Schizosaccharomyces pombe: one gene and its partner. Changing the gene in region 2 together with the main gene of any one other region gives a genetic interaction. Each region holds a gene or a part of one and is shown on either strand. Other genes may lie near its edges.

Evidence for each region.
Region 1: mutations in utp4 (region 2) and lsc2 together harm fitness more than expected from each alone (negative genetic interaction), as found in Schizosaccharomyces pombe (one large-scale study listed by BioGRID).

What each region holds. Positions count from the first base shown.
Region 1 is NC_003421.2:2,157,491-2,161,993, reverse strand, and holds lsc2 (succinate-CoA ligase beta subunit Lsc2), read right to left. Parts: upstream 2,566-4,503; 5' UTR 2,396-2,565; coding exon 1,094-2,395; 3' UTR 699-1,093; downstream 1-698. Other genes in the region: transcription factor TFIIF complex alpha subunit Tfg1, read left to right, coding at 1-429, 479-663.
Region 2 is NC_003423.3:3,702,746-3,708,122, forward strand, and holds utp4 (U3 snoRNP protein Utp4), read right to left. Parts: upstream 3,541-5,377; 5' UTR 3,130-3,540; coding exon 997-3,129; 3' UTR 711-996; downstream 1-710. Other genes in the region: sac11 (inositol polyphosphate phosphatase), read left to right, coding at 3,987-5,377. UniProt on the Schizosaccharomyces pombe protein: Involved in nucleolar processing of pre-18S ribosomal RNA. Required for optimal pre-ribosomal RNA transcription by RNA polymerase I together with a subset of U3 proteins required for transcription (t-UTPs).

The DNA of each region.
Region 1 (4,503 bases), on a different chromosome or scaffold from region 2:
AAAAGAATTTAGCTTATGAGAGTGATGAGGAAGATGAGGACCCTTATGCTTCCTCCCATGATGCGTCTAGTGAAGAAGAAGTTTTGCAAGAAGAAGAAGAATTGCAAAAGCGTGAAGAAAAACTAAAGTCTAGATTTTCTGCGAACGCTTCCAAAACTAATACACCAAGACCACTAGAACGAACGCCAAGCAGCGTATCTCCTGTCAAAGCTTCATCGCAACTACAATCACCTAATACTTCTATTCAAATAAGGCCTCAAGAACAACTTATTAACAAACCTGGATATATAATTCTCCGCTTATCAAGTGAAAAGTTATCACGGTTTGCCAATGACTTTCCCCGTATGGTCCCTAGCATGGGGTCTACAGAAACGAGTGTAGGAGATCAAGTGGAGGTTGTGGGAGATACTACAAATGTTCCAATTGATGGTATGCTAAAGTTTTACATTTACCAGAAAATTTATTAACGTGCTTTTAGATTCTAATCTGATTACGGAGGCAGAGGTAATGAAGGCTTTAAGAGCTGGTCCCATTTCTATTAAGGATCTAGTTCACCTGTTCCAACGCAAAATTAGAGCCGACAACAGAAATCGGTTGGGAATACAGAAGATCATTCGAAAGGTTGCTCGATTTGAGAACAAGCTACTCGTTTTAAAAAACTAGTTATGAATTATCTATGTAATAACGTTTATATATTAATGAACATTAAAGAAAACATTTGTTTTATTTTTGGAAACAAAATTCAAAATTGCATTAATTTAAGAGCATAGTAGAACTATTACAATTTAACATTTCCCCTAAAATAGAAAACGTCGGATTGTTAAGAAGTGCACTCGTCGATCGGTATAGTATCAAATACACGAGTTTACGATCGCGATGTTCAACTATGCTACTATATAACTGTAAATGTGTATAAAATATATAAAGAAGAAAAATAACAAACCATTTCTTTAAGACATGGTAAACAGCTGTGCTAAGAATTCTATATACACAAGTCATTATATAAAATCATTCCATGATGCCGTATGTCGTAATGATAATAAGAAAAGGGGGTTGTAAACAATTATACATTAAAGCCGTTAAAATTAGCAGCCTACAAAGGTAGCTCGAAGCTAACATTCACATCGGCTTCACGTGCCATTTCGACAACGCGACTGAAACGACAAGCCTTCTTAGCTGCTTCATCAAGATCATCAAATGAGAAAATACGGAGACCTGAGTTGTTGATTACCTCTTTGGCAGCACCTTGGTTGGTTCCTTGAAGTCTGCAAATAATAGGTATGTTCAGATTCAACGCTGATACTACCGAGATAAGACCTTTGGCAATAACGTCGCATCGAACAATACCTCCAAAAATGTTCACAAAGATAGCAGTAGTTTTGGGATCATTAGTGATGAGAGAGAATGCCTCACGAATTGCTTCAGCATTAGCATTACCACCGACATCAAGGAAATTAGCAGGTTCACCACCATGAAGTTTGATGATATCCATAGTGGCCATTGCGAGACCAGCACCATTGACCAAACAACCAATGTTACCGTCCAATTTGATAAAGTTCAACCCAACCTTGGCAGCCCTAGCCTCATCAGGATCTTCTTGAGAAATGTCCCGCAAAACGAAAATGTTGGAATGACGAAATTCGGCATTATCGTCAAAGTTCAGCTTAGCATCCATGCACAACACCTTGTGATCAGTAGTTTCAGCAAGGGGATTAATCTCTACTTGTGTAGCATCACAATCATTGAATACTTTGTAAAGTTTGACGATTGCGTCAACGGCCTTTGGCTTGCTAGAAGAGGAAAAGCCGAGTTTGTCAACAAGTTCTTCTGCGATATGAGGGTCAAGATTTGGACTGTTGGGAAGAGATCGTTTGATGATAGCGCTAGGATTTTCAGCTGCTACAGTCTCAATGTCAACACCTCCTTGGTCGGAGGCGACTATCATGGGGCATTGGTTCTCACGATCCATTAAAATAGCGAAGTAATACTCTTTACGAATAAACTTCCTCTCGCAAACATAGACAACATTGCAAATCTTTCCAGCAGGACCAGTTTGTCTGGTAATTAACTTATGACCGATCATTTGTTCAGCAAACATTCTCGCTTCTGTAGCATCATAAACAGGCCGTACTCCTCCACGCAGGCCACTGTCAAATTGGCCCTTTCCACGACCGCCTGCTAGAACTTGAGCTTTAACTACCAAATCTGTGACTTTAAGATCACGAGCAACCTTTTCTGCCTCTTCACCGCTCCGAGCAGGAGCACCACGAGGAACGTCCACACCAAACTTTCTGAGAATATCATGAGAAATATATTCATGTAAAGCTAGATTTCTTTTTTGTAAAAAGGGAGAAAAAGCGCGAGGTGCTTTTCTCAGCACACTTCTGGTTAACATGGTAGGAAAGTTGGATTGAGAGAATCTAGCGATGAACTTAAACAATTCTTTGATAAATATATGAGAAGCGTAGCATACAGATACACGTTCTTTTAAAAAATATATATAGAGAGAGTCTCCTCCTAAACTACAACAAAGAGTAGGCTGTAGAAAGACCAATACTTGGGTGTGAGTGATATTGTACGTGTAAACGATATGATATATCTGCCATGACTGGACAGCAAACATAGTAAATTGCATCGCATAACGCAAATTTGTTATTCGTTGATAGAAATATTGTTAACATACAGTATTTTAAGTAACGATATGCAGCAAAGAGTACTAGAGTCGCTATCCACGATGAATACATTCAGCATGAAAGATGAGCATCATAATCGTGAAATTACAAATGGCATTTTTTTTATCAAACACAAATAAAGCTACTTGCATTTGATGAATTGCTATATGCACACAATGAGAGTAATCTACCAACAAATTATGATAGCGACACAAATCATACATTATGTCAGCAATACTACACTACGCTATGATACACTACGTTGTGTATCACTATATGTCACATGTTCTAATTATATATCGTACCATGTATGATACGATATGGAGATTGATCTTAATGATAATCTATTAAGATCAATATTATCTGAATACTATAAATAGAGCTACTGCTGAATCTCGTTCCTCAGTTCAGTTATGAGCTATATTAGTGATAGGTAACATTATAACCCAGTTAATACAATACCTATACTCAGTTGCTACTTATACAACCTGTGTATTGTAATATAATAGATCACAAGGAAAACTCACCGTAGCTCTACGTATCCTTAAATCAGATACCAAACTTCGTAGCTTACACATTATCTTGTTTTACGCGTTGCGTAATAGCGTCGTGTGCAATGTTAAGTATTCAGCAGTTTCAATGAATCATCATCTATTTACACTGGCTTTTGTAAAGGATTTGTTAATATAAAAGAATGGCATGTAAGCGATTCTTTTCTAATGTTAATAGATTTTCGAATTCAATGAATGGAATTAAAATATCTTAAACTATTGTAAGACAGAAAGCTCCGATTTGGCAAGATTTTAAGTGACCTATTTGGATATAAAATTTTATATTAAGTTAGTTTTTCGATAGCGTTTAAAGAATTTCCAGCATGTTGGTATTAGTATATAATCCTGAAATTTCGCATTCGCACACATGCAAATAAAATTTTTACCAAAGAAATTATTAATGTCGAATATTTTTAAGCTTCGTTAGATTATTAAGCTATCGGCTAGGTGCAATAAGGTAAACAAAAGTCGGTTAAGCAATTCTTTTCGTTTGCATAAGCATGTACTAAAACAATAACATGTAAATGACTAGGATGTGTAGAATTTTATAAAAAGGCATACTAACCATTCTGTTTTGAAGAGAAAGTTGAAAATTTCTTGATGAACGCTGAATCTCTAACACGGGAATACGAAGGTTGGTGCGATTCATGAAAGTTCATAATCGTATAAATGATCAAAATTTTAAAAAATTTAATAGATTGTGATATTAAAATATTTCAAAAAGCAAAAAGAATCGTATTTTAAAGAAGCAAACCCATAAGTGTATCAGAATATTACTTCAAGCGATTCACTAAAGTTGTCGCAATACAAAAGAGAAACAAAAAAAAAAAAAGCGAATATGCAGTGAAAGCCTATACCTGATTTAAAAATATTCACATTTTTGCTTTAGTACCCTTTGAAGGAATAGATTTGTTGATTTACTTCTCTATTATGATTGCAGTCGCCATCATTCAAGGCTGAGCGTTGTTCAAAATGTGAAGCCAATGGTTTTTTTTTTCTAGCAAAATCAATTAAAAATCTACTTCATCTGACCAAAATAGCAAAATCACAACTTTCGTCCAAAAGTCACTTTGTAAGATTCCCTCGGTAAGGCCGCGCTGCAAATCGATTGCGCTCATAGTTTCAAATAGCACAACTCGATAAAATTCGCAAACAAGTATAATGTAATACTTAATAACGTTATTTCATAGCACGATGCAAAACCGTGATTTGGATAGAGCTTCTCATAGAAACGAGCACTTGCGACTCTCCTAACCATAAGCAAAAATTATTCATTGTCA
Region 2 (5,377 bases):
CAACGCAATGTTTTATTTTCACTACGAAATGTTCTCATGCTTCTAATCTATGACTTCTACTTTACATGCTGTTGATTCAGGTGGTGTTTTTGTACCAAAGTGGGGGGTCTAAGTCGTTAGTACTATTGTCCTTCTTCTGGTTAGTACTGACAGTTTGTATTACATTTTAAGTGGGATCGTAGTAACTAAATGGGGGTACATAAAACTGGTACTACTAAACAGATTTATCTAAGTTGTGAACAAATTTCAATAAACAAACGAATGTATAATCTCATCGGCAAGAAAATAATTTTTTACGTCAATCACTTATTTCACTTCTTTATTTTATTTTGAATATATCAAATGTAATCAAGTTTAGAAACGTAGACGGGTTCATGTATGAGCTTTCTTCGTTTCATTTGCATATATATCCTTTGTAAGATTCTGTTACTTTGAATATGTTTTCTTTATAAGTTGTAGATGGTAATTGCTACTCTTTAAATACAAGCTGTCTTCTACAATAATTTTAATTTTACCAGAGTATTTTTAATTATCCTCATGCGAGTAATTTTCTAATTATGTGGTGTAACAAAAATAGCGTTCGGTTAAATTTTAGTTCGCCGTGTTAAGTCTATTAATCAAAAAATTTGGGTTCGTAAAATTGTACGCCTATCTGCCTAGAATCAAGTGAAACCATATTACAGGCATAATGCTCCAATCGATAATGGGAATAAACAACTCAGACTTTGGAAATTCACAGCTACATTGCCATAATCATATTGTGGATGGGTGTGTCACCTTGAAATGTTTTATTGATAAACTAACTAGCAACTAATCTATGCTTTTTATCGGAAAAAATAAAAATAAAATAAACTCCTATAATAAAAGACCTTTTTGTACAAAATCATAATAATACCACCCTATTCCAGACATTTTTTTTACGTAAAATGACATATTAAAACCTCTTCGTTTTTTTTAGTACGAAGAAACTCCTCCATCTTCATACATAATACATATTTACGAGCCAAATTTGTGCTCATAAAAGCTTGCTGGCATTGATTTACTCATCAACATATCGGCGATTGGTCGTTCGACTACCAGCAATTCAGAGTTTCCTACAGAGCCTACAAGTAGCATTGGTCGATATTTGTGAGTAATCCAGAAACACCTAGAATCCCCTGTTCCATAATTTGAAATGCCGTTCGAATTAGCATTCGCCAATTTTTTGTCATTCAGATTCCCGTCAACTGTTGCATTCATTTCAATTTTACGTTTTCCGGCAGCGCGAGGCGCTGGTAATTGAAGATTAAGATCGAAAAATGAAACCCAGTTGGCTGACCAAATCCAGAATCGACTCGGATGTTTAGAGTCGAAAAATGCTCCGAATGCCTTATCTAGAAGTTGCGAAAATTCTTTGGGCATATTTGTAGAATTGTTTTTTGACCATTCAGATAATTTACGGGATTGAACATCAAACTCATAAACTTGATTTCCCGCCGTAGCAACAGCTAAACGGCCTCGTACATCTGGACGAAAAGCCATTGCACGAACATAAGTGTTAACTCGTGGTAACTCTGAATATGTTAAATTTGACAAGGAGTAGCAGAAAATATTTCCAACTGTGTCCGCAACAGCAAAATAATCTCCATCCGAAGATACCGCTATACTGCAAATACCATCACACATGCTGCTTACATTGCTTCGCTGACGAGGAGCAATTTTCTTGCTAGTGGGTTGTGATAACTCGAAAACTTCTAGCTGACGAGAATCCAGTCGACTTAATTCAATGAGAAATATCTCGGAATCGTTACTAACAAGGATAAGCTTGTTCTTATCTACAGTAAAACTAAGCAGGCTAGCACCAATATTTGAAAGGAAGGAGTCCTCAACTGTTTCAACTTTCACATTTTCATCGCTATACTGTAATTGATAAAGCTTCGTCCTCAAAACGGAAGAAATTGCAATTAATTCCCCATCAGGAGAAATTGCTGCATGTGAAATATTTTCTTCGTCAGCCAACACAATTTTTAATAAAAACCTATAGCCAGGAGACCCAATTCTCCAGAGAAGTACTTCATGATCATTCCATAACATAAAAAGCCTTGCTTTCGGTGCGACCGCCATGCGAGGGCGTTGAGGAACGGCAGATATCATCCTGTGATTCTTGCGATTAAATTGTCGAACAGGAATTACCGCAAGCATCATATCCATACCACCGCTAATAAGAACATCCAAACTTTTACATTCAAAAACGGCCATACATCGAACATCATGAGAATGGAACCTTCTAAAACTGTTGCTGACCCATTCTCTTTTACCTCCTTCGCGTGAGTACTGAATAGTTTTCCTGTCAATCCCTGAAGAAAATACCATATCTCCGTTAGCAGAAACACCCAAACACAAAGCATCAGCCAAATGTAGTTTGAACGATTGGCTTAATGTAAAGAATTTTCCATTCCAAAATTTAACAGCACCTGATGAATCGGCACTTACGATAGTGCCATCCCGTAAACTTTTCACGGCCCAAATTAAAGCAGCTTCTCCTTTTCGAGCACGATCTACTTGCATTCTAGAAATTATAGCGGAATTTGGAGTGCTAAGATCCCAAACTTTGATAACACCGTCAGCGCAACCACCAACAAGATGATCTTTTGTTTGAAAGTCGAGCGAAAGGATACGAGACGTTTGGCGCATCAAAACTCGTTTAAATTCGATGACACCTGGGCCACCACTAATGTCAAATAGAACGCAACTTCCATCATCACATCCAACAGCTAGAGTTTTAGTTTCATCGCATATAGCGATTGACCAAATAGCTCCTGCATTAGAGTCTTGGTTTACCAATGGTTTTCCAGTATGTAAATTCCATTCAGTAATAGTAGTTGAAAATCCTATACTGAATAATCGTAGCTCCTCTTCACCGGTACTCCAAACAATCCCTTCAATACTGCGATCTACACCACCGTATAACACAGTTTTTAAGCACCAATCGTTTCGAGGGTTCCATATTTCAATGTTTCCGCTAGCACGTCCAACAGCGAGTAGTAAATTGTTAGGCATAGAATCATTCTGACCGCTTTTATGGGAAAATGCCATTGCAGTAATAGCTGAAGGGGTATAGTCGATAAAGCGACAACGATGAATATCCATGTTGCTAATTAAATTTAAATAAAAGAAAGAACGAACAGGAAACTAATCAGAAGTATGTATGGAAAAAATTATTTTTTTGCACCAAAGTCAATTTCCCAAATCAAACCCAAAATATCGCCAAAGTCGGCTATTAGCTAGATAATTGTAATCCTTTTTTTGAAAAAAATATAAAAGAAAAAATTTAAAAGGTTTCAATGGAATAAATCAACTATGTTTTCGCTCTTTTTTTCAAAAATGAAAATTTTGATGAACGAGTGAATCCTCAGGATTCAACCACAAAACGAAGATCACAGTAGTATAGTGATTTCAACGTGAAGAATAATCAAAGTATCTACTATTAATATTACAAATATGTATTATTCTTCTAAAGCACTCTTCAGAGTGTCCTTTGGAACTCCGTTGGTAAATGGTAGTGGAAGAAATTTGTATTTACAAGGCTAGCACAACATGACCAAGAGCATCTACCATATTTAGGTGAAAGTGCGTTAGCAGTTATGTGTACGGCAATTAAGTTTTGAAAGTATTCATGTTAATTATTTTACATTTTAAGATGTCAATGAGATATTTATTCTCAATATTTAAACAAACACCAGATACCCTAGGAATAATTCAGCGACCTTCAATATGATCATTGTAGTATAATATTTTATTGAGGATGGATACTTACTAGCAAATTTAGTAATTGATAAATCATAGTGAAAATGTCATTTATTCTATCTACGATAATACCACATGACTTAGCATAGAAAACCGTATGTTACAGTACAGCAGTAAGCAGGTTCGTTGTCTGCCGTCTACCAACCATCAACTTCACAGATCTTGGTATCTATCCTACAAAAACTTTAGAAAATTTCTTCATGGTTCAGTTTGAAGCAAACGAGAAGCAATTTAAGCTTCGTCGAGAAGATTGTTGTTTAACAATTGACCGAGAAAGTGGTGCAGTTAGTTTTGAGCCGGACGAGTTGAAACCAGTTGCCCGCAGCAAAGAAAATAGTGTCACATTGTTTGGTTCAATCAAGCTGAAAAAAGATAAATATCTTATTTTAGCTACAGAAAAATCTAGTGCAGCCCAAATTTTGGGACATAAAATATATCGTGTTCATAAATTTGAAGTTATTCCCTATCGTAACCTACTAGCTGACGATCAAGATGAATTGGATTTATACAATTTGTTACAAAATCATTTGAAAACAGGACCTTTTTACTTCTCGTACACATGGGACCTTACTAACTCCCTACAACGTTCTTGTACGGATGAGGGAAAGGCCTCACCTATTCTTCGAAGTGATAAACGATTTTTTTGGAACGAGTTTGCTAGTAAAGATTTCATTGATCTTATCGGTGCCCATTCTGAAGTATCACTTTTCATTACGCCAATGATTTACGGCTTCATCACTTCTGCTTCCACTATTGTTAAGGGACGAACAATCACGTTAGCATTAATATCTCGACGCTCTAAACAACGCGCCGGTACTAGATATTTTACCAGAGGTTTAGACGAGAATGGAAACCCCGCCAACTTCAATGAAACTGAGCAGATTACTATCGTTTCAGACGAAAAGTCAGAGGTCACTTATTCACATGTTCAGACCCGCGGTAGTGTTCCTGCTTTTTGGGCAGAGGTTAATAATCTTCGCTATAAACCATTGATGGTTGCAAATTCTGCTTCAATGGCTGCAGCCGCTGCAAAAAAGCATTTCGACGAGCAAATATCCATATACGGTGACCAGGTTGTAGTTAATTTGGTCAACTGTAAAGGACATGAGCTTCCTATTAAACAGTTATATGAAAATGTTATACGTCGTTTGGATAATCCCCATATCCATTATCATTATTTTGACTTTCATAAAGAATGTAGCCATATGAGGTGGGACCGGGTTTCACTCCTTTTAAATGAAATACAACCCGAGTTAGAAGAGCAAGGCTACACTACATTAGACACTCAAAAGTACCGTGTTTTATCTCGTCAGAATGGCGTTGTACGCTCCAACTGCATGGATTGTCTTGATAGAACCAATGTGGTCCAAAGCTGTATAGGTCGCTGGGTGCTTACGAATCAACTTCGTAAATGCGGAATTATAGGTGCTACCCATCCCCTTCGTTCCGTCATTCCTCTTGATAACATTTTTTGCAACATTTGGTCTGATAATGCAGATTACATTAGTCTTTCTTATTCTGGTACAGGAGCTTTGAAAACCGATTTTACTAGAACCGGTATTCGAACTCGAAAAGGCGCTTTTAACGATTT